6 linked regions of the Bombyx mori genome follow. The protein of the gene in region 5 purifies or fractionates together with the protein of the main gene of each other region. This does not show direct contact. Links are inferred from orthologs where the notes say so. Each region holds a gene or a part of one and is shown on either strand. Other genes may lie near its edges.

Region 1 (4,152 bases), on a different chromosome or scaffold from region 5:
TTCACTAGTCTAGACTGCATGTCTGGAGGACTAAGTGGACTTGACTGGACTGGACTAGTGGTTAACAATATGCCATTCTAACAGTAATTTTTTTTGTGTTTCAAGCATTTTATAAATAGAGTGATTAATAATTAACTAATAGGAAAGGACGAGGAAGAAGAATAGTGTATTAGTGAAGAAAATTGTACTCCTTTTCATAAAAATAAAACATAATACTGATAATGAGAAGCAAGTGAAAGATTTGACTGTTATGCTAGATCAATGATGATTCATGAGCATAAAAAATCTTTATAGGTCAGTGATGGGATTGTTCATCTGACCCGTCCCTCAAAACATAACAGATCAGAAGCAGATCTAAATCAATAAATATTTGTAAAACCATTACATAAGCGTAAATCTAAAATACTTAATTTATTTTTATACATATTTAAATTGTTTTGCTAAGTTAAGATGAGAAAGCGATAAGATACTATTTTTTAAGAAATAGACCAATGAAAAAATTAATTTTAATATTTAAATTGAATTAATTACACTAGCTGCTAGTGACTAGCATAATAACAGGTTATTCGTGAGTATTACTGACCTTGCACTCAGAGATAGAAAATATTTCTTATGATTGTCTATAATTAAATATTGTAATAAATGAGGGTTATTTTATTAACAAGTATTTATTTTATTTTATTGAGTTTGTGTTAAACTTTTTTCTCAGTTTTTAACTTGAAATATTAGACCACACAGCCACACAGCTTATACACAAAAGATGCTACTGATAAAGTATTATACATAAATTGATTGATAAAAATTCAGTATTTACAATCACACACTGAACTATGAAACACTCATGATTATACTACTAGGCTACTATTATACTACTAGGCTATGAGCAGGGTCAACTCTAGTTTTCAGAGATATCAAAGAAGGTAAAATATATAGAGGTTCAGCATTCTGACTAAAAAAGATTGACAAAATGAAAAGCAGACTTACATAAATCAGTTGCAAATCGAACTTGTTCACCATTGCAGTTATTGATAAAATCATGAAACTGTTGATACATAGTTGACCTATCAACTTCTGGATTGCCCTGTAAGGTACATAAGTTATATTGATTCAGAAAACAGAAATAAAAGTAGTTAATATGTGATGAACAGTTTATTTCATGCTGTAGAACATTATACAGTTCAAAACAAAGAGAAAACCTAAGTTAACATTATATTATTACGAGATATTTTTTTCAAATTAATATTGGACCTCATTAAGTTTGTCAGTATCAATAAATATACTACTACAGATTTTTTTCAAAATTCATGTTGGGTGACTTTGCAGCTTTTTAATACGATTTTATTAGCTTCAGTTGTATGTATGTTAGTATGTAACAGAATCTTTGAACATGATTTTGACCCCCTTACCATGCATGCACCATGCACCCCATGCTTTTTTACAATAAAATAATTTTTTCTTACACCATTTTTAAATCAAATTTATTTTCTATTTTTTAGTTGGATTTTCTACAAAAGCGTATTTTGTTAGTATTTTTAAACCATTATTTATTTAATTTGAGTTTAGGCATAAAATGCCTTGATAGATATAAAATATATATAATATATGTTATAATTATTGCTGTGAATATTTAGTGATACTAGAGGTCCCGCAGTAGTCGAAATTCAACTATGATTAATTGGAATTGTAAGTTTTTACACTATTATGATTGTATTTTATACTTCTATAATCACAAATTTCACCAAGACTACACTATAAAAAATATTAACAAAGACAAACAATATTTAATTTCAATTTGACAACAGACGTCAAGAACAAAAGTTTGACAATAAATAGTATGCATGCGTGTGTGCGTCAAATACAAGGTATGTAGTGTGTGTAATGTTTTCTTTATTGATTTAATGTATCTTTTATGCATTATTCAAAAAATATATTAACATCATGCACTTCTTCTGTATATTCTCTATAAGTGTGGAAAATTTCATACTCCTCCGTCCGCGCAATTTTCTTAAAAAGGGATACAAAGTTCTTGCTTCATGTATTAATATATAGATTTTGATACAGTTTAAGTTAGACTTAACATACATTTAGATTTCAATTACACTTTAAGGCCATTGTAATAATTTATGTAAAGTTAGAATGCATAATTAAAACACTTACCGGAGGCAAGGAAAATTTGGCCACCAGGACTGCTAAAACACCCAATGAATGCTGTTGGATATCAAGAGTTTCAAGTACTGTATTGAGGTGGAAGCTATTCCTCTGCAACACTTCATCTGATTTTGCAATAATCTCATATAAATCGCGAAAATTACCTGAAAGATAAGACATTGTACCATGAAGTTTGATTTAATGACGTTCTAATACATTCCAATAAATTTGTTTCCTAAAAAAGAATCAGGTTTATTATAATATTATTATTATGATTGCGATTGTGTCAGGTGCCTACTTTTTTTATTCCATGAATTATAATAGCACGGTACCTGATGCCGACATTGTCCTCACATTGTTGACAAATTGTTCTAAAGGAGAAGCCATTGTGATAGTAGTATCAGATAAATTATATATGTGCTTGAATTAATAAATGTTTAAATAAATTGTTTCTTTTTTCTACATTTAAAATAACCCAGACGAAAATAACATGAATTATTGATATTTTTTTGACATGAGAAATTGACAGCGGTAGTTGTTTATTTAAATACATCAATATATTAGGCAAAGAGGTACTAGACCATAATCTTGTAAAAAATAAAGACTACAGCTATAAGTGTTGTATAAAAAGTAAAACGGAACGAAATGAATTAAATTTGAGCTGAGATAAGACAAAACATTATGTATTTGTGCGATATGATAAAATAGGTATGTGTTAATCTCTTTCTTTTTTATTGTTATTTTCAGTAATTTAGTCTGTATCACACCCGTAATAAATGTTAGTTTAAAAACTACATGAAGAAATAAGAAACTATCCCGTAAAAGATGCGCTCGCTCTTTTGGCTAGATACATAAATCACTTAATTTTCTAAAAATTATGTAATAAAAATATATTCCGGCTCAAATAAAATTGAATCAAAATCAATTCAAAGAAAACAGTCATGAGAAGAGTTAATTTTATTACAAGAATGGTGCTATTTTACTAAGAAATTATTTTCTTGCCATCATTCATTATGATGCAGGAAAAACTATCGAAACTTGTGTTTGGTACTTCACACCTGGATACAGATTTTTGCTATATAAAACAAATTCGGCCTTACAAAGCAATTCCGGCCTTGCGTGGAGTACTGCTCTCACCTCTGGGCCGGGGCTCTCAAATACTATCAGATAATTTCCATTGGACTTCATACAGAAGAGAGACGTTCGGATTGTCCATATTCCCGTTCGCATGTATCGCTTGGAGCTCTCTGTCTACAGAGAGACTTCGATTGTCTCTGGGTTTTGTATCGTATGTCCCATAGGGTGTGCTCTGATGTATTGTTTCAGATGATCCCATAATATTAATTTTATAATCACATCACCCGTTATCGGAGAAGAGTTCTGCCATGTACCATCCGGCTTTTGAATGAACTTCCCTCTACGGTGTTTCCCGAACGCCATATATAATATATAAAATATATATACATATATATATATATAAATCTCCTTTACAGATGATCTATCTTTAAAGGAGACTTAAGAAAAGTACGCAACGGTAGGCAGCGGCTTGGCTGTGCCCCGGCATTGCTGATGTCCAGGAGCAACGGTAGCCACTTACCATCAGGCAGGCCATATGCTTGTCTACCTGCAAGGGCAATAAAAATAAATCTGTTGCATTATTTAATTCCATTTCACATTTTATTAAACTGACATGTTTTTGCCTTTTTTAGATTTGGTTTTATGGGTAATTTTTTCTTTGTCGGTTCAGTAAAAAAATCTAATGAAATAAGAATGTACTAATTCTATTTTATACAATGACATTATTCATTTTGAAATTTGACACTAAACAATAAAGTTCCCACAAAGTTCCTCAATAAACACTGAAGTATGAAACTAGGTTTCCTACTTCAGTGTATGAAACTCAATAATGGAAATGAAAGTGTCACTCGTGTATTATGATGTAATACTGTCATTATATATTAAGTGTATAATCTATGCTATCATTCATTGACAGTTCGGTTGAGA
Region 2 (3,941 bases), on a different chromosome or scaffold from region 5:
ATTAAACTATCAGTCTAAAAAAAGGAAAATCAAAACAACTAAACATTTCCATATTGATATTGATAGGTACTACATATTATATATTTATAAGCTCCAAAGTTATCAATAGAAGTGTTCAGTTAATAGATTATTTCAGCCTGCTTGATTAATGGGCCTGCTGATGCGGTTTGGTAATGTCATGGCACAAATATCCATACTGAAAGAATAATTGTAAAGTTAAATAACTGTTATGTGTGTAGTATTGTAACACTATTGGACAATTCGAGAAATTTACATACTGATTTCAAATTTAAATTTGTAAGTTGTGTACTAATTATACATTTATGTAACTTACATTATATCACGCGGAAGTGTGCTTTGGTCAAGGTTGTTAGCAAGTACAGCTATGATGCATAGAGTCTTCAGACTTGGGGTATAATCTAGTATATGTAAATCACTGTTATCAATTAATCTCTCGGGGTTTGCATCATTTTCATCAATGGGCCTGTTGTTAACATGTGGGCAAGGGCTGAAAAACAAATATGTATTTGTACATAGGGCATAACGTATTTTTAAGCAATAAGTCAAATAAGAAATTTTTGGCTTAAACTATTAAGATGTCATGTGAAATCTAGCTATCTAGTGATCTAAGCACAAAATCGTGAAAATTTTATTCATTGCGTAATTATTTATGCATTGTGAAACTGCACAAATAGACATCACCATCCAGCTTGTTTCTGCTGTCTAACTGGGATGTGTCTATGTTTTGTATGGTGGAATAACTCTCATACAATCAATTCATACTTTAACTTTTTCAAGCCTTAAATATTTTAAAATTGCAATGCACGAAAGATGTACTGTATTTTTTTGTTTTAATGAAAATTTTATTTATTTTTACACTGAAATCTTTTGTTGAAATTGTACCCTCTCAAAGTAAAAGATAAATTCAGTTCAGCACAATCTATGGTCTCCTACATTTGATAGTAATTAAGTGTGTCTGAGGACAGTTATGGAAAAAAATATTTTACCTTGTGCCTCCAAACAGGTATACCTTATCTTCATAAATAAGACATGCTTGGCGTCGTCTCTTGCAAGGAACTGAACCAGTCACATTTATAAACTGCCAAAAATTTCCTTTAATTGAGTATCTATAAAGATCATTAAAGTGTGTCCTGGTATTTCCATTGAATCCACCAAAAATGTACATGAAATCATTGTAGAGCCCTAAAGTACAAGAAAGTAACTTTAATAAATATTAATTATAAATTAATATATTTAATTATTAAATATTATATTAATATAAATTAATATACTAATTATATTCATTTTGTCAACAAAATAGCATATGATTTAATTTACATTAAAAAATAAGCTATTTAAAATATTACAATACTGCAATTTTAAGATTCATTATTTAAAATTCTATCCTAAAGCTGGTTACAGATAAGTTGCAGCAAAGCTCAGCTAAATGAATAGTAGATAAAGTAGAAATTTTTTGCATGTACCTACATCCACAATTATGTCAAGGCGAAGTAAGTATTGATTGAGTAGTTACGACACTAAAAGATGAGAAACAAGTGCACAAAGTAAAACAAGACACTAAGATTAGCTTAAGTAGCAGCAAAATAAGATAGACAACTTGAGTGCACATTGTTTACATCAGCTAGTCTATATAATTTGCAGTCTGTAGACATGTATGAAAAATAACTAAATATAATGCTAAGCTAAGCTTAACTTTTGATTTGCTACCCACTTAAAAGGGGTCACAGTTATATGTAATATATTTGTGAGATTCTTTGATAACCAGATAAATATTATAACTTACATGCAGAATGACTGCGTCTCCCTTCTGGCCAAATCCCAGTAGGATTACAGGCTACCCATGTCTCTGTTATTGTATCTAGATAATATACTTGCGGGCAATAAATTTCTTCCTGAGAATTATATGGACTATTTAAATCACCTCTACCACCAAAGACAAACATGCGGTCTCCGACAGCTACTGCAGTGTGGAAATCTCTGTGGGAAGGCGGAGTGCCTTGTGCATCTATAAAGGTCCACTGAAGTGTGTCCAAATCAAGACAATGGACTTCTTGAGAATATTGATCAGTGAGATACTCAAATCCTCCAAAAATATACATTTTATTTTTAATGACACATGCTGAATGTCCATCTTTAGCATATGGCACCATTCCTGTCACTTGCGGGGTGCTCCATTCGAGTTTCTTTGTGTCGAAGCACGAGAGAGTATCACATGCTACCGCATTATTCCTGCCGCCCCACATATATACCTGAACACAGAATAGTAGGTATAGAAGAATCAAATAGGCGAGATATTTTTAAGAATTTAAACTGTTTGGAACAATGAAATGACAGAATACAAATAACATCGACTACAATAGCCTAAAAGAAAGACTATACCTACATACCTTGTGACCATAGGCAACTGCTGTGTGCCCATATCTTTGAAATGGGACTACGTCTGATCTCTTATAGTTTACAGAGGTCCATCTTAGAGTTGCTGTGTTCAATATATGGACTGGTATTGGCTCCCAATCTTTATATTCTTCAGTGGAACAATATCCACCAAACGAATAGATTTTATCGCCAATACATACAGCTGCATGATTGACTCTCATCGGTCCCCCTTCGATATGCACTGTCCATTTCATTGTTGCAATGGAATTTAAAAAAAAGACGGTAGCTTCAAATTAAACTGTTATATTATTTTTATATTTTTTTAAAAGGAATCTACCATATCCCCGACAAACTGGTTGACTGACGAAACTAGAAACTAGAAATCAGAAATTGACAGTGGGTATTGAGATGACAAATAATTCGTCAATTGGATAGGCAAAGGAAATAACGTCCGTACAACGAAATGTTATGTGAAAAATACACGATTCCTTGTCTGTTGTCCGTAAATGGAACGCGCTAATTACCGACATTACTAGTCATTTTACTATAAATCAATACTAATTATCGAAAATAATTTGAATATGAAGTGAGACAAAGGACTTTTTGGCAAAAACACCAACTTTTGTGAGTTGTTTTATTTTGATAATTCGGGTTAAAGATATTCTTTATTCTCAAAAGAATTACATAAATTCACTTAAATGAGAACATTAAAATAGTTACAATTACTTCAGATCGTGCAGTACATGACAATAATTTACAGTAACAACATGCGACGCTATGCTATAAACAATACATTTAACAAAAACTATAAAGATTATTATTTTCTTAAAATGTATAAACAGGGTAGATTAATTACCACAGCAGATCGCCTCGACCAGCCGGCCGGCCGCTCGGTGGCGGGTAGATATTGGCGCCACAAGGAGCTAGTTCGCATGGATGTGGCATTGGTTAAATGTTTGCAGGTTGTTAGTTTCGTTGTTTTTTCATTTCATTGTTTATTATATTTCTTTCCTGTTTATATTTAGGTATAAATATGAAGTTATTGTTAAATAAACGAAAATAAATTAATGGAATTGGGTAATTACTTTAAATTGAATTTAGTATTTTTAGTTATTAACGTAGGCTTAAGTAACAATACTATCATTTCTATGGATGTAACTGTCTGAAATAAATGGATATTATTATTATTAACAAATTTATCTTAGAAACTATATTATGGGAACATTTTTTCTTATATAATCATTACATTTATTTTTAAATACATTCAATGACTTGATATTTTTTAAATCTAAAGGCAGCATATTATACAGTTTGACACCCTCAGATGATATATTTCGTTGTCCATAGTTAGTTCTAGATCTGGTAGTGATTAAGTTTTCGGCATTTCGATTACGATAGTTTTGAAGTTCCTTTTTTTTAGTAAACGTCAATTTAGAATGTATCTCCTTGTGTAATATTTTTCTTATTAGTAAACAAGTGCTATAGGTATACAGTTGTTTTACAGACATAAGTTTGGTTTCACTATAGACTTTTGTGGTGGGTGT
Region 3 (4,169 bases), on a different chromosome or scaffold from region 5:
CCTCTTGTCTCAAAGCTTCATTCTTGTATGAATGTACATGTACATGATGTAAATGAGCTCCAATAACTGACAACACAAGGTTGACCCCTGAGCTTGTTCATCTATATAGGCAATGAAAATAAAAAAATCCAATTATGTCTATTTACCGTAGGTATATGTGGTTGGACTTCTTTAGGACACTTGAGGACAAATGCTTCAAGAGCCTGCAAGCAATGTTCCCGTAATTCTTCATCTGTATCTTTTGAATATTCCAAAACTGATGGTGCCACACGCCACAATTGTTCACCAAATCGGTGTCCAGCTTGACGACTAAAATAAACAAATTTCAAGAGAATTTAGTCTAATTAATATAATTTTTCTTGCCTAGATCCTACACATGCTGCAAAATTAAAATATGAATGAACAAAAATGTCAATTAACTCACAACATACCATATAGAAGCAATGCACTGTATGTGTGTTCGGCTGACACTTGATGAAGTTGAAGAGCTCAGACCCTCCAGTAGATGGTCTATTAACTTGTTATAAAGCGAAGCATTGCAAGACATGACCAAATGTGACAACGCAACTATGGTGCGCTTGCGAACAGCCTGGAATTTTTTAATATTATATTACGTAAATTTTGGATCAACGTACACCTTCATACTTTGCTATATATATATATATTTCATAATTTTTTTGTAATGGACTATATCGTTAGGTGATAGCTCACCACCTACCTAATTCTATGTCATTACCAGAGTTTGAAAGATATTAGGATATGAATGCAGCCATCCACTAAAAGACATAAGTTCAATGTTTGAATTTATACTGTGCCTAAATTGTCCCACAGCTCAAACTGGTATATTTGAGATATCTGCTAACAATACACATAGTGAAAGCACCTAACCCATAACAGCTACAAATTACCTGTTAAGATAGTTAAGATAGTTAATTACTTTTCTTTGCAAATAAATTTATGGTTGCCTTAATTCTTCATTTTTGGTAATAGTTGACCACAGCTCACAAGACAAAAAACCTTTATAATTTGATTAAATAAAATTTTAACTTGCTATTGCATTATATAATTAATATCAGCATGGAACATTTAATTTTAATATTTATTACATTACATATTTTCATTATTATTTTATATGTTGATAGTAAACAATAAAGTGTTCCCGAAATGTATGACCAACCACCAAGAAACATAATAATCAAGAGTCCAAATGGGACAATGAAGGTAGCAACAGCTGCTCCTGTAGGCTCCTTTAACTTTGAAATATCGGGACAACCAAAAGTTAGCCTACAAACTTTGGATACATAATAATATATAATTGGATCACAGGTGTTTTCATTGCTACTTGTATACCTGACGGGGAGATGCAAGCTGCGGCAACAGTGAATTGAGCAGCATAGGATGAAATGATATCAATAAACCACCAAATCTGCTCAATAAATCAGCAAGAATATCAAGTGCTTCAAGTTGAACTGAAACATCTTCTTGCTGAAAAAATTAAGAAGAATAATGACATGTTTATTTTTTGAAGAGAGCAATAAATTGAACAATCCAGTGAAATATCTAAACATCTATACTGTACCTTTTCTATAGCACTACTCAATTTACCAGTTATTTTCTTACAAACATTAGCAGCAAGAGTATTGGAACCCAGTGGGAGTTCAGAAATTACAGTCTTTAATCCAATGCTGCTGATGTCCCTTAGCTGCTCAGTATCCGAAAGCATATTGGCACAAAGTGTATCAACTATACCTTCCACCTGATACTCCTTTACTTTGTTTACAAGAGGACCGAGGCTGAAAGTGAATTATTGTCAAGGGTACTGGTTTGTTAATATCAGTATACAGTATTATAAAATTATGACTTTAACAATATTATCATCAGTAAAGTCTATATTTTGGTGTGTGCTTCTTTCTTGCAGCAATAGAGCAAAAGATTAACATATATTTTTTTTAGTATGAGAAAGTTGAAATACCTAAGTGAATTTGGTTTAAATTGAGAAAAAGTTATGTAATTTTACAAATTTAACACTGATAAAAGTACAGAACAACTGAGACTATTAGACTTGACTTTGTAAAGGAAACTTATCTAATTTCATAAAACTATGACAAAAATCTGCGACAGCGAATATTGAAATTTTATCTTCTACCATACTTTTTCATAAGTAGTTTGAATAGAACTTAAAAAATTGGGAGTTAAATCACATGCAGGATTGAATCACATGCAGGATTGATACTCAGATTTATTGTGCTTGGAATTATGAAATATCAAACGAACCATTTCACAGCTAAATTCTGAACTTCACCATTCTTGTCTTCGAGTAATCGTAGAAGCATTTTTACTACTTTTCTTTCAGAATCATCGTCGAGCTTGATACTGTCTTTTTGCAACTCTGTCATCAAATCATTAGTAGCCATAAACCTGAAGTCTTTATCATTGGATGTCATCTACGAAATAAATAGAAAATCCTCAATAAATGCGAGCTTATTAGATACGAAAACATTGAACTAGTTAACAAATTAACCGGCTTACCTTCTCAAGAAGATGTGCTATATGGTAAGACACATTAGCCATTGTGCAAATCCTATCAGTGTCTCTTCCAAAAATAATTTTAAAATATTAAGACCTAACGAGAGCTAATTAGTTGAAAACAGTTTAATCAACATTAATTCACACGAGAAAAAATTTGCAAAAAACTAGGTAAAACTAAAACCTCATTTAAGTGACCATAGATTTTTTGTCAATTTTTTATTTTGCATTTTTAGGTACACAGACCTCTATTGAACAGTACTCACTGTAGATAATTACAAGCCAAAGGCATCGAGACCATTATAGGCCAACAGCATTGTGTTCAGGGCCGTAAAATAGTCATGTTTTTTTTTTCAAATTTATCGTCTAAACAGTCGTTTCTTTCAAAACCATATTATGAGTAGGTAATGTAAATTTTTAATCAGCAAATTAGTAAACTAACAATATTCGGTTACAAAAAAACCTTTTTTACTAACATAATTATTTTTTTTATAAATTAAAAGGCTTATGGCGTCTTACAGAGTCTTACTCATATACAGGGTGTCCCAGAAAGAATGGATAATCCTGAAACACCTCATAGTAGAGCCATTGAGGACACAAAAAAAAATAAAAATAAAAAAAACTCAGGTAGTACCCAAATTATGTATTTTAAAAAAAAGTTGATATTTTCCATACTGCTGTGCGTTTCTGGAATATATAACAGCTACAAATAAATGAAATCCATAAGCTTTTTGGTGTTATAATATTTTATATGGACTATACTAAGGAATATGTAGAAAATCGCATGAGTAGCCAGTGTAATTTTTTATAAAAGTTAATCTGAACTTCAATTTTAATAATGAAATTTGGTATTTTTATTTTATTTTTAATTTGGGTGCTACCTAAGATTTTATTTTTTATTTTTTATTTTGTGTCCCCAATAGCTCTACTATGAGGTGTTTCAGTATTATCAATTCTTTCTGAGATACCCTGTATATTGAGCGCCAAGTATGAAAATAATTTATCATTATTTTCTGCTTTTATTACTATAACTTCAAATATGCAGATTGCAGAGGTAAGTTGTTGTTAATTGGAAATAATATAATTAGGATTTTTATAAATACAATTATTGATGAATGAGTTTTTTTTTACTATACAAAATTATCCTATTACATTTGTTGTGAATTACAAAAAAAAAGGTGCGCGTGCAACTTGAGGCACGTGACACGTGAAAGAAGTGTAACTAAATTTGCAGTGTGTAGTATTACGGTTTTCTTCATTTTTCAAACTTAAATCAATTTTTTCTTGCAATAGGGAATACTATGTATTAGAGAAACGATCTCTTCTCCATTTATATATATTTTAAATTATATATAGAAAAATATATTTTTTTAATCCATAGTTAAAAATAAAATTTAAGATAGATAATATGTTACTGCCATCTACAGGAGCAATGAGAAACTAATAACAAGCAATCTAGTGGCCAACGCCCGTAAACAGAATGTGTATAAAAAAATCAATCTAGCTCGCTTTCTCGCTCTCTTCAAGGTCGTGTGGTTCGCGAGACGCTCTGTATATTTTCTCCCTCTCGCTGGTCCTAAATTGTATCTGTTCTCTCTAGTCGTTACGAATCTATCGTGAGTTAAATTTTACTCTCAATGCAC
Region 4 (4,170 bases), on a different chromosome or scaffold from region 5:
GCATTAGTAAAACTTGCAGTAACAGTTTTGATACATCACTCAAGTACAATCTTTCAGAAGCTGGATATTTCGGTGCCACACAGGCTGATAGAAAGAAACGTAGTGATTTGTGTATTAATTTGTGATTATGTATAATCAATGTAAATGTTTATGTGTAATCAAAGGCACTCTAGCGAAACCTACGTAAATTCACAGTAGATAGATTCTAAGCATATGTTAGCATCGGAAGGGCATTGTTTATTATAAGCTTTTATTGACAGGCAATACGGATACAGGACTTTACTGTCAATATCTGATTGACAATCAAACAACAAAATGGTAATTTTTTTATAATGATAATACAAGTTTTTTTTTTATTGACCTTGTAGGCAAACAATCACTCGGTCCACCTAATGGTGAGAAATTACTGTTGCTTATAGAAGTCAGTGATCCCAGAACCACAACCAAGACGTTGCCCACTACTAAGGACTCTCTATAAACCTCGTTAGGAGAACCACGTATATTTTTAACCAGTCCGAAAATATTGAGTTTCGTTGAGAAGCATTAACACATTCATAATATAGCCCTAAGCTTAAACTCACAAATCTTCTTCAGCCCCTTCAGAATTTTTAGGTACTGTTCGTTTATTGTACTGTACTGTAGTATTTTTTAAATCAAAGTCTCCAAAGTTTTCCTTAATGGTCACTACCAACTTGGTAACAAACAAAACAGTAGTTGGTAGTACCAACAATATAGATCAGGTTTTTCTAAGTTCCTATTTTAAATAAAGTGAGTTTTTTATTCCACTTGGTAACTAATTTTATTTCATACTTTTTAGTCAATTGATTCTGTAAAATAAATTCATTCTATGCAGGAAACAGACTTAAACAGATAATGTTTTTGGTAAGAGATATCTTTAATTATAAAAAACAATGAATAAATATTATTCCTCTATTAATTTTGTCAGAGACACTATGTTGAAATAATATATGACATATCACTTTTATTAGGTGTTTTTATTTTGTCTTTTCTTAGCGCTTGTGTTACCAGATTTTTTACTTAGTTATATATTGTGTGTCTAATAAATAAATAAAAAATAAAAATAAACAACCAACTGACATCTCATTTGCTAAAATCCTATAAAATATTTAAGCTGAGGAGTATAACATACATAAGTTCACATAACTTGGAATAGACCTTATAAATTTAATAATCAGTTGAAAAACACTGGACAACAGTTTACTACAGTAACAGTTTACCGGTGGTATTATAAGCCTGGGTTGAGTGCAGTCATGCATTCCAATTTGACAGATAGGTTGGCCATTGTCATACAGTTTTTTTTCTTTCTTTTCTTTATTGCTACGATGGATGGACAAGCTCAGGACCCATCTGATGTTAAGTGGTAAACTGGTCTCAGTTTTACAGTTATAACAGTCACTCAATCTACTCTTTGGACCAAAATGAATTACAGCTTCAAGGCAACTGAGGTTGGTGTCACATTCACATTATGATGTCTATGGACTCCTCACATAGGCCGTGAGGACATTCACCCATCTTTGCAATGAATAAATAAAAAAAGTAGTCTTACAGCTTTACTATTGACCTAAAGAGATAAAAAGGTTATTCAACTCTGATGGTTATAACAATGGATATTTTGCATCATATAAACTATGTTACAAAGGTTCGTTCTTTTCTATAGATTAATGGGGAAGGACAGAGACATTTTAATCATTGTTCTTTATTGTTAAATTATTAAAAACAGTAGTTACATTTTTTTTTTTTGCATGGTGCCTATGCGTCTTACAAAATACTGTATTTTATTAACAAAACAATAGTTTTAGGGATGTTCTTTTGTTTGTTTGATTTGAAAAAAAAAACCTTTATGTGTTATGTTTATGTTAATTTTATTATTTGAAGGTTAGGATGACAGACGAAATTTACTTTTTTTTTGTTCAAAGCAAAAGTACTAATATTGCTATTTAAGGTTTAGTGAATGAACCAAACATCTTGTCCAGAGACAAAGCACTGACCTGTGAAAGTGCCACGACTGAGTTGTCATCGCTGACTGCTTCTTCGACAATGAGACGGTTGGGTCTGTCCTTGCGACGGAGGATCGCGGTCGATAAATCATCAGGGCTGGAATACAAGACAATTATGACTACTCTTCAGTTTAACATTTATTTCTCACTAGTAGAAATACTTGGGTTTTGTTTGGTTTAAGTAGAAGGATTAATGTCTTTTCATTAAGATTTTTGTATTTAAAATGGTATTGGTATTTTTTAATGATTTTTGGACATAAGTTCAAACTGATTATCACTGGTGCTGAGGATGATGTTTCACTTAATTACACATTTCTAAACATATATTTCGAAAATTTGGTGAGTTCGGGTGCTCAATTTCATTCATTTTTATAGGAATGATTTCAAAATGCCGAAATTCTTTTGTGTTAATTTGTCATCTCACCGTCTCTTAAATAGAACAAACTTGTTTTCAGAACTAAGTACTCTTGCATTAGAAAGTTACAATGCTGTAGAATAATAAAATTGCTGTTGTAGGTCATTGATGAAAATAAAAAAATCACTACACTTTAAAAGTTTAATTCTCGACATGATGACAAGCCAAATTCGAAATGCATTCACAATGTACTTCGCCGATTTCGTGTAAATTTTACATGAAACTCCGTTTTGAATATTTGACGAATATAATTTAGCACTCACCTTTTATTATCTGCCATTTTATTCAAAATTTATTGTTAGAATCTAAGAACTATTATAATTTTTATAACGCCAAATAATTACTTGGCGAACTTCAATCCTAGCGTGACGTTGCCGTATTTCATTTGTTCATCGATAAGCTTCGTGTTGCCATAGAAAATAATACCATAACTAAAAGACCCATTTCTGACTAACTCTTCAAGTTTTAATCGATTGTAACCATCTCTCGATTGCAATCATTGATTACCACCACAGAGTTGCAAAATGTCTCAATCTAATATATAAAATTCTCGTGTCACAGTTTTCGTTGCCATACTCCTCCGAAACGGCTTGACCGATTTTGATGAAATTTTTTGTGCTTATCCGGTATCTATGAGAATCGGCCAACATCTATTTTTCATCCCCCTAAATGTTAGGGGTAGTCCACCCCTAAATTTTTTTATTTATTTTTTAGACAAAATTTTTCATTTCTATTTTTTTATGATACAACATACAAAAATACATACAATCCTCAATTTTCACCTCTCTACGATCAACCCTTATTTTTTATTTGCTAATTAAAAACTTCTAAAAATTTTTGCGAGAATTTTGTTTGTATTTTGTCATGACTTAAAATAAAAAAAATTATATTACTCTCAATTTTCACTCTTATACGATCAACCCCTATTTTTCCATCCCGATCAATATTTTTTTTATTCTATGCACAGATCCGCAATAAGGTTGCAAGATGGCAATCAAATATTATAATTGTAGTACGATAAACTCTTATTCAGAGTTTATAATTTCAAGTTCCTTTAATTATGATTTTTTTTAAATTGAATTTGATCTCCCGCCCTCGCCGGTCGACTACTGATCAACTATCAATCGATCAGCTATCCCCGCCAGGTGTCACCACTCATCCAGCAAACATCACGTAGTAGGGATGAGACGAAGCCGGTCTCCTGTCTTACTTATTCACTATACATCATAGATTATACACTTAATATATTTGAGAGCTATACAATACTATACATTTTTCAGCCATGTTTTTTTGGTTTTATTTGTGTATCAATAGTATGTTCAGTAGGTCTGAGAGTCGGCTACTATCTATTTTTCAAACCCCTAAGTGAAAAGGGTTGTCGACCCCAAACATTTATTTTTTATTTTAATTTTTTGGATATTTTTTTTTGTTTACAATGAGGTATTATGTGGTTAAATGAGGTTTTTTTTTCTACAGTAGAATTTCCCTAGAAATCTTATTTAAGGCAACACAACGTTTGCCGGGTCAGCTAGTGGATTTATAAATTCTTTAAAATTGGGGTAATTTAAGACGCGAATTATAAATTTCGAAATTAAAAAAATAGAGGTTTAATCAAAGATCGCCATAGAGGTTGGCATCAGAGGCTGGCCATACTACCGATAGCTAATTATGATTTTGGACACAAAACAAGGCTAATTGAGTGTAATTTCGAATAAATGAGCATCTCTCTCTCTGATG
Region 5 (4,257 bases):
TCGCAGAAGTCGAGCATCGCCTGCCAGGACTCATCGCTGCCGAGCATCGCAGCCACGACGGTCGGAAGCGACAAGTCCGGTCCTATTTTTGCAACGAGGACGCGGCGCTGCTCCGCGAAAACATTACTACTTCTGCCCTAAGGTGGTTTGATTCATATCTTCGGGGCCGTTCACAACGCACACGTCAAAATGAATCCTTCTCAGACTGGGTTGCTGTTGATGCTGGCGTGCCTCAGGGTGGTGTTCTCTCTCCGCTTCTTTTCTCAGTGTTTATTAACACAGTCACTACTTTGATATCCTCAAATTTTCATCTTTATGCAGATGATTTGCAAATTTACCATCACTGCGCACCTAGTGAAATTGATGGAGCAATCAAGGATGTTAATTGTGATTTGGAAAACATTCATGAATGGGCAACGTCTCATGGACTCTTACTCAATGCCAACAAAACACAGGCCATCATAATTGGTAGTAGATATGCTATTCGTGCATTAAATCATTCTGCAATTGGATCTCTCATATTGAATGGCCAACCAATTGTCTTTAGTGAAACTGTTAAAAACCTTGGCGTTACCTTTAACTCTTTCTTAAGCTGGAATGAGCAGGTTAACAATGTTAGCAGTAAAGTTAACTTTACATTCCATTCACTCAAATGTCTCCAATATTTTTTGCCTTTGGAAACTAAAATTTCTCTTGTCCAAAGTCTCATTTTACCCATTTTGGACTACGCTGATGCTTGCTACTTGGATGTCACTGAGGAGCTTCTCAATAAGCTTGAGCGTTTGCAAAATTTGTGCATCCGTTTTATTTTTGGTCTCAAAAAATTCTGAATTCTATTTCTGAATTTCGCAAAAAGCTCAAGTGGCTCCCAGTCCGTTTCCGCAGAAATACTAGAATGTTGTGCTTCCTATTTAATATCCTACATAATCCTAACTACCCACAATATTTACGTGATCGCTTTACCTATGCCCGTCCCTCCATTGCTCCTTGTAGAACCCACATTAAAACTCTCCTCAATTGCCCTGTTCATAAAACACATGCTTACGCAAAATCGTTTTCTGTACAAGCAGTTATACTTTGGAATTCCCTCCCTCCAAGCATACGAGCGTGCAAAACCATAGCAGCGTTCAAGAAATCTGTTAAGGAACATTATTTATCCTTACCATCTTAAATAAATTATATATATTTGTATAATGTATTATAATATAAAGTAAGTATATGTGTGTATGTTATATATATGCATGTGTGTGTGTGTGTGTGTATTTGTATGCATATATATTGTTTTGTATCTTGTAATATGTATATATTATTATATGTAATGTTTACTGTATGCACTAGGTTTGTGTTCCTAATTCTTCTTTCCTTTTGCGGGCCTACTGGAAGAGATTTCAGCATGAAATAAGTAGTGCCCTTGTACTCTGTATCCTTATTGACGTGTCTTTTCTAACAGCTGTGTGTACAAAATATATTAAATAAATAATAAATAAAAAAAAAATGCTTGTGGAGGATTATTTAAAAAAGCAGTTAGGTTAGACTTAGGTAGCAGAGGTATCCATTTTGTTGTGTCTGTGGGATCTAGTAGCTTCTACACACTAGAGCAACCACATTTGCTATACCCATCTATCCCATAAAACATACATATTATGTGAATCAAATCGCAATTACAATTATCAAAATATTCAGTTTATTTTTAAGTTATATCAGTTTGATACTAGAAATTTTAAAAAGGAAGATCTTTTACACAGCAAGTATTTTTGTTGGAATATTGTGTCTATGTGTCTAACAGTGAAGAGAAGAGTTGAGAACTTTTTCAGGTTATTACCCAAATTATTCTATTTACTTTGTTCGGCCAGATTCATTATGACTAATCTCAAAATCTATTTTGCAGTGGGTTGACCGTTGCTATAAATTAGGTGGTGTAAAGGACCAGTTCCGTTATGATGGATGGAGCTACGCTTGAGCATAAACACTAAGTACATTCATATTTTATTTAGCTTGTGATCTAAAGCAAGGGAAGGTCTTATTAGTCACAAGGGGATATTTATAATACATGTCCAATTATTCTTTATTATTTTTGGCAAATCATGATCCGAATATGGAGGATTAGGTATTTGTCACCTCATTATGTTTTCCTAAGTGTAAATATTAAGCAATTCTCATTTTATGTATTCTATTGGGCTGTATACCTGAATTGTATGCGTGGTTTAATACCGTTTGCTGTTTTGATCTACTTAACACGAAATGGACTACAATAAGCTGTGTTATGTGCCAAGTCCTTATGTTCTATGTTTACAAAATCTGCAAGTCTTCTTCAATAATATAGAACTGATTCTTGATAGACGAATGTTGCTGTCTAATTATGCAAATTATTCGTATAGATTCAAAAGAATAGATGGCAAATGGGGTTAACTTATTTAAATGGGTTGAAACAATTTTGATTTCTTTTAAATACGTAAAATGCGTACTTTGCACGATCATATATTTGTTTGGCAATGTGACAAAGGTGTCTGTATGCCAATGCCCGGCTCCCGACGTAGAATTACTCAGCATTAAAAACCAAAATAATCAATCTCGATGTATGTACTTATTGCAATGACAGATGTGCAAATCAAAGTTAATATTTATAATCCAAAGGAAAGGTACTTACAATATACTTTTCGTGAATTAATTTCCTATGCGAAGTTTTAATGGCCTGTTGAATATTTTGTTTATATTTTATGTACAAATTATATTATTTCGTCCGTAATTCTTTGTCAGGCTTATTTTTGACATTGACGTCTCTGGCGCAAATGCAATGTTTTTTTTTTTTTTTTTTTCTCCCATTTCTTGGCCTGCACGGTTTGTGCGTCAGCCACGCAAAAAGGTTAGGAAGTGTGTTAATGGATTTATTTTTTGGATTTGAAATTGGAACGGAATTTGGAAAAAGGATCAGGTATATATATTATATAAACTAAGTACATAAATGGTTACAATTTTATATTATTATGAAAAATGAAACTAGCTAATATTCTATATACATCAATATTGATATTAGATAAAAGGATAGAAATTGAAGTAGGAAAAGGAATTTTAATGGACAAAAGTGAGGAAATAAAAGCGGAACGGTCATTTCGAGGACAGGCAAAGAATATATGATTAAAATCCCCAACGTCATTGCCACACTCACATATATCACTAGGCAAAAGGTGCATTCCCTTGCCAAATGCAAGGGAATGCATGCATGGCCCAGCTTCATGCGAATAAGGGTCGATGTGATAGCTTTACCAAACGTCAGATTTGAAAACCACGGTTTAGGAGGTATATCCACCTGGATCGTGCTGTAATTTAGTCTGTCTTGAAGAACGCCAAATGTGAGTCCAAGAATTCAATAACTGGAATTTAGGAAGCAGAGCTAAATCACAACAAAAGTTTTTGTACGGAACCAAATCTCCATCATTGACCGCAGCTTTGGCAAGGCTATCGGCCTTGGCATTGCCAAAGATACCCGAATGCCCCGGAATCCAAGCAAAGGAAACTGTGTAATTTTTGATGCAACATTGATACAATAAATCACGACATGCAATAATCACAGGATGATTATTTCGGTTACTGTTAAAAGGAAAACGTTCCGAGGCTTGGAGGGCACTTTTAGCGTCAGTTAAAATTATTGACTTTTTAAGCTTCATCATTAAAATGTACTCCAGAGACTTCAGAAGACCAAAACATTCTCCAGTAAATACTGAAGTCTCTGGAGGCAATTTTATTTTCTGAACAATGCCAAACTGTTGATGGAAAATGCCGACCCCCACACACTCCTCGGGACCGGGTTTGGAGGAATCGCTAAAAATTAAATGACAATTTTTCCATCGGCTGTCACTGTCAATAATATCAACAAATTTGGCATTGATAGAAAGATCTTGTTTACTTAGGCCGAAATCAAACATAATAGATGGATTTAAAGTTAGGGCATCATAGTTAACACAAAATATTGGAAGGAATTGTGATCTATGTGTAGGAGCTTGAAGAGCTAAGTACTTTTGGAGACTAACAATAAGGCATGGCGGCGATTTATGAGCCCAGTACGGATAATCCATACATTCCAGCAGAGACCGTAACTTAGTGTAAAGAGGATGATTATAAACTTGGAATGCTCTAAATAGAAACCGGTCACAAAGAAATTGTCGTCTGAGGTGCAGGGGGGCTTCAGAACATTCGACCTGCAAAGCGTTAATAGGGCTCGAACGCATAGCCCCAGCAATTATTCTCAGAGCCTTAGAC
Region 6 (4,295 bases), on a different chromosome or scaffold from region 5:
AATTATAAACTACTTTTATGGTTTAACTTGAAACTTTTATTGTCATTATAATATTTCCAAATGACTCCCAACACAATATTCAAATTTGAATAAATAACAGTTTAGTGGTTAGTCATCACAAAAACTGTAAACTATTTAAAATGTTAGAAATAATATAATGACTCTAAAATTGCAAGATTACATCACAAAAGTAAATTTAATTATGTCTATTATTCACATATATTGATGAATATAGCATAAAAAATTAAGATTACATTAGCATATACACATATGGTAATGTAATGAAATGTTTTTAATCATGTTGTAATATAATTACTTTTTTTAGGATAGTCTGCAATACATTTACCTTTGGCCTTTGTATGACAGGTTTCCTGAATGGATTGATAACTCTAGCTTCAGAGAACAACTGATCCTGGTCTCCATCATAAAAACGTTCCATAAGCTTCTCTTTGTCCCATTTGAAATGATTCAGTAAGATCCTTGTTGTTGTTGCTGGAATCTGTTTTGACAGGATTTTTTATGCTTTTAACACACCATAAATCAGAATTTTTAATACTTAATCAGGGGATCTTCAAGGACAGGTATATACTATCTGAGTGAAATAGTTGGGACTTCATAGCTACATATCTCCCTAACATTGTAAAGAAAAAAATTGTATAAACTTTCTTTTTTTACATAATTATATACCACTAAAACAAAACTATTAAACACAAACAAATTATTTACATCCACTAGTTTTTTTTGTAAGTCCTATGAGTAGACAAGCTTCTAAAAACTGAAGATAAGAGATCCCTTAACTTAGTTAGTTTAGTCCCTACAGTTAATTTACAGTGTTACAAATTTCCTCAATGATCACTTTCACTTTTGTTACAGTCAATTAAGAGCCAATTTCAAAGATTTTTAAATGAAATATTGCAGTTTCATATCAATGTATTTTATTTAGATTTAGTAAAAATTTGTTACTGGCTATTGTTAACTTAGGTTGATATATATTAGTATAGTTTTAGTGCAAAATGTTAAATTTTACACAAATCAACATTTTTCTTAGTTTCATATAAACATAATTAGTATGTTACTGAGAGCCTTATCATTTTTTAATTTCAATTTTGTTGTCAGAAATGCAATTTATATTTAATAGAGATTGATTGTTACTAGTTCAAAAAATGCTTTTTACTATTTTAAATTTTAAATTTAAATAAAACTGACTCTCGCTTTAGGTTAAAAAATATCATTGAACTATGTAATCCATTAATATAAAAAATGACAGATTAAATTGCCTTAAAGATCTGTTGAGGGGCTAAAGTGGTCCAATGGAAGATTAGTCTAACAAGTACTCCATCTCAACCTGAGAACTACAAGTAGTAAAGGTAGAGCAATCAATGTTACACACACTCATGACATGATTGTGTTATGTGTGCTAAGCCTGCTTGGAGATAGGTCAAATAGCCACTTATGTGCTTCTCAAATGGGAGTGGCTATGCTTCAGACCCTGGGTCCCCAGGCCCCACAGCTAGCTTCCTGGAGAACCTAGTCTGGTGCTTGTAGGATCACTCTCACTCTATTGAATAATAATGACATCAGATTGCAGGGAACCACACGTTTATTGCTTTTGGGGTAATGTTTTTTCATAATTGTTAGTAAGTTGTTTCCAAAGCTGAAATTGTAATGATATACTACTTCAGCACAAACACAAAACCATACCCATAATTTCTACAGTTCATTTAATGAATATTTAGTTAAACAGATTTTTTCCTTAATGCAAAAAAGCATAGGTACATGTTAACATATTAATATCTCCAAATCAATATTAATCAACAATAAGCACTTTTCTAGGCCTTAATATTATCATAGTACATAATAATGCAATTGACAATGAAAACTATTAATTATATATGCAAATGAAATTGTTATTAGAATCTTACTGTAGCTTTTTATTATAAGAAAGAATGTATAACATTGAATAAGAATGTATAACATTCTTTCTTATTCTGTTCTGCATACATATTTGATGAATTAAAATTAGTTATATGAAATCTACTTGTATTTGCTTAATATTTATTTAAGCACCACTCTTTTTGTTCTATTACATTAGTCAGCATTACAAAGTTATTAGTCATCAATTTACAGTTTTATATGTTCTAAAAAATACCAATGACTTTTTACCTTTCATAAAATGCTTTATGGCTCATAAGATTATATTAGGCCAAATAATGATTTCCTGTGATGATTTAATTCTTAGAAACTGTGTTTGCTAATAATAAAATCAAACCATAAACAATACCTACAGTCAAAAATATCATGTCAGATCAATTGCGACTAAATTAGTCCACAACACAAAAGGTTCTATCAAAGTGTACCATTGTACGAGTAACCTCAATCAATTAGTCCATTGTTTACGCTCACAACTAACATACTGACCTCGACGACAGTGTTCACTTCTTTAATGCAGTCAACCATATGTTGGACAATCTCCTCTGTAGACAAAACCTCGTAAGGATACTCCTCAAGCTCAGTTTGTCTTTCCCTTGTACTATGAGTTTCAACGTCCATTGCAAAGTCGACATCGTCTCCACTAGACTCATTACCCGAGTCCACATCGTCTTTCGTGTCATCTTCCGAATCCATCGTTGCAAACTTTAACTAAATTTGTATGATTTATAGTGAATGCACAACCAGAAATCTTATTGTGATGAAATAAATACACCTTAGATTTAGGAAAGGTCAACAATGAAGAAAATAGTTCACCCGCGGGCTGCCAAAACCTCTGACGTAAGGACAGTGTTCTAACATCTAAAAATTTAAATCATAGATAAATAATGTTCTTCTTTTTTTTAGTATGGCAATTAGCTTCTTGCATGACTGTTGTTGGCAGAGTCGAGATAATAAAAATCCTGATTTATTAAACTCTTACATACATACTTATTGTATCTTAAGAAAAATCATATTATGGAACGAAATGAGATGAAGTTAATTTATTTAAGATTGTAATCAATTGGGTTGAAATGAAATGAGATGAGATGGAATAAAATAAACGCACAGTAAAATGATTGTTCTCTGATACTTCAGTGGACTTTCTAGACGAGTCTGTGAAGCCATTCCCAGCGACTTTGTTTCATTTTCTCACATTATGTACTTTTATAGATGCTCAACAGTTAAGAAGCCACCATTAATACGCATTGATGTCGACACATGATGACAAAGTTAAAGTGGAACTCAACCCATTATACGAGACTTCTTATCGAACCGTTCGTTCCGATATCGAGTCGAAGGAACGTGCTCTCGCCCTCGTCACGTACCTCAGTTTGTAGGTATAGCCCGGTCTCCGGAGACCTATCTAGCGCTCTTCGCCGATGACACGGCTATCTACTACTCGTGTAGCAAGAAGTCATTATTCGTTCCGGAAGTGCCGCATCGACATCAACCCCACGAAAAGCACAGCGGTGCTCTTCAAAAGGGGTCGCCCTCCGAATACCACTTCGAGCAGCCCACTCCCTAATAGGCGCGTTAACACCTCCACCGTTAGCCCCATCACTCTTTTTGGCCAGTCCATACCGTGGGCCTCGAAGGTCAAATATCTAGGCGTCACCCTCGACAGAGGTATAACATTCCGTCCCCATATCCAAACGGTACACGACCGTGCCGCCTTCATTTTTTTATTTTTTATTACTTAGATGGGTGGACGAGCTCAGAGCCCACCTGGTGTTAAGTGGTTACTGGAGCCCATAGACGTCTACAACGTAAATGCGCCACCCACCATGAGATATAAGTTCTAAGGTCTCAGTATAGTTACAACGGCTACCCCACCCTTCGAACCGAAACGCATTACTGCTTCACGGCGGAAATAGGCGGGGTGGTGGTACCTACCCGTGCGGACTCCCAGGAGGTCCTACCACCAGTGATTACGCAAATTATAATTTTGCGGGTTTGATTTTTATTACACGATGTTATTCCTTCACCGTGGAAGTCAATCGTGAACATCATATTAGGACATCTCTACCCTATGCTTTGCAAGCGAAACAAATTGTCCTTCCGTAATAAGGTGACACTCTACAAAACTTGCATACGCCCCGTCATGACGTATGCAAGCGTAATGTTCGCTCACGCGGCCCGCACTAACTTGAAACCCCTTCAGGTTATTCAATCCCGATTTTACAGGATAGCCGTCGGAGCACCATGGTTCCTAAGGAACGTGGATCTCCATGATGACCTGGAACTTGGCTTAGTCAGTAAGTAACTACAGCCGGCATCATTGCGCCACTTTAAGAAGGCGGCACATGAGAAACCTCTTGTCGTAG

What was found.
Region 1: the proteins of cullin-2 (region 5) and COP9 signalosome complex subunit 3 purify together in Homo sapiens (affinity purification with mass spectrometry; 5 studies listed by BioGRID and IntAct, counting the BioPlex papers as one, with this or other methods). This does not show direct contact. The link is inferred for Bombyx mori from reciprocal best matches to the Homo sapiens genes CUL2 and COPS3.
Region 2: the proteins of cullin-2 (region 5) and kelch domain-containing protein 3 purify together in Homo sapiens (affinity purification with mass spectrometry; 5 studies listed by BioGRID and IntAct, counting the BioPlex papers as one, with this or other methods). This does not show direct contact. The link is inferred for Bombyx mori from reciprocal best matches to the Homo sapiens genes CUL2 and KLHDC3.
Region 3: the proteins of cullin-2 (region 5) and cullin-associated NEDD8-dissociated protein 1 purify together in Homo sapiens (affinity purification with western blotting; 7 studies listed by BioGRID and IntAct, with this or other methods). This does not show direct contact. The link is inferred for Bombyx mori from reciprocal best matches to the Homo sapiens genes CUL2 and CAND1.
Region 4: the proteins of cullin-2 (region 5) and Ter94 purify together in Homo sapiens (affinity purification with western blotting; 3 studies listed by BioGRID and IntAct, with this or other methods). This does not show direct contact. The link is inferred for Bombyx mori from reciprocal best matches to the Homo sapiens genes CUL2 and VCP.
Region 6: the proteins of cullin-2 (region 5) and E3 ubiquitin-protein ligase ariadne-1 purify together in Homo sapiens (affinity purification with western blotting; 3 studies listed by BioGRID and IntAct, with this or other methods). This does not show direct contact. The link is inferred for Bombyx mori from reciprocal best matches to the Homo sapiens genes CUL2 and ARIH1.

Annotation. Positions count from the first base shown.
Region 1 is NC_085119.1:8,374,090-8,378,241, forward strand, and holds the start of COP9 signalosome complex subunit 3, read right to left. Parts: upstream 2,801-4,152; 5' UTR 2,536-2,800; coding exon 2,481-2,535; intron 2,313-2,480; coding exon 2,158-2,312; intron 1,082-2,157; coding exon 985-1,081; intron 1-984. UniProt on the Homo sapiens protein: Component of the COP9 signalosome complex (CSN), a complex involved in various cellular and developmental processes.
Region 2 is NC_085118.1:7,557,037-7,560,977, reverse strand, and holds the start of kelch domain-containing protein 3, read right to left. Parts: upstream 2,801-3,941; 5' UTR 2,652-2,800; coding exon 2,409-2,651; intron 2,271-2,408; coding exon 1,805-2,270; intron 1,204-1,804; coding exon 1,008-1,203; intron 509-1,007; coding exon 335-508; intron 197-334; coding exon 133-196; 3' UTR 1-132. UniProt on the Homo sapiens protein: Substrate-recognition component of a Cul2-RING (CRL2) E3 ubiquitin-protein ligase complex of the DesCEND (destruction via C-end degrons) pathway, which recognizes a C-degron located at the extreme C terminus of target proteins, leading to their ubiquitination and degradation.
Region 3 is NC_085111.1:7,841,576-7,845,744, reverse strand, and holds the start of cullin-associated NEDD8-dissociated protein 1, read right to left. Parts: upstream 2,801-4,169; 5' UTR 2,572-2,800; coding exon 2,530-2,571; intron 2,445-2,529; coding exon 2,275-2,444; intron 1,794-2,274; coding exon 1,580-1,793; intron 1,486-1,579; coding exon 1,351-1,485; intron 590-1,350; coding exon 432-589; intron 310-431; coding exon 147-309; intron 1-146. UniProt on the Homo sapiens protein: Key assembly factor of SCF (SKP1-CUL1-F-box protein) E3 ubiquitin ligase complexes that promotes the exchange of the substrate-recognition F-box subunit in SCF complexes, thereby playing a key role in the cellular repertoire of SCF complexes.
Region 4 is NC_085125.1:11,209,088-11,213,257, forward strand, and holds the start of Ter94 (transitional endoplasmic reticulum ATPase TER94), read right to left. Parts: upstream 2,801-4,170; 5' UTR 2,714-2,800; coding exon 2,697-2,713; intron 2,116-2,696; coding exon 2,010-2,115; intron 1-2,009. UniProt on the Homo sapiens protein: Necessary for the fragmentation of Golgi stacks during mitosis and for their reassembly after mitosis. Involved in the formation of the transitional endoplasmic reticulum (tER).
Region 5 is NC_085129.1:21,461,517-21,465,773, forward strand, and holds the start of cullin-2, read right to left. Parts: upstream 2,801-4,257; 5' UTR 2,648-2,800; intron 1-2,647.
Region 6 is NC_085127.1:9,591,301-9,595,595, forward strand, and holds the start of E3 ubiquitin-protein ligase ariadne-1, read right to left. Parts: upstream 2,801-4,295; 5' UTR 2,626-2,800; coding exon 2,419-2,625; intron 500-2,418; coding exon 347-499; intron 1-346. UniProt on the Homo sapiens protein: E3 ubiquitin-protein ligase, which catalyzes ubiquitination of target proteins together with ubiquitin-conjugating enzyme E2 UBE2L3.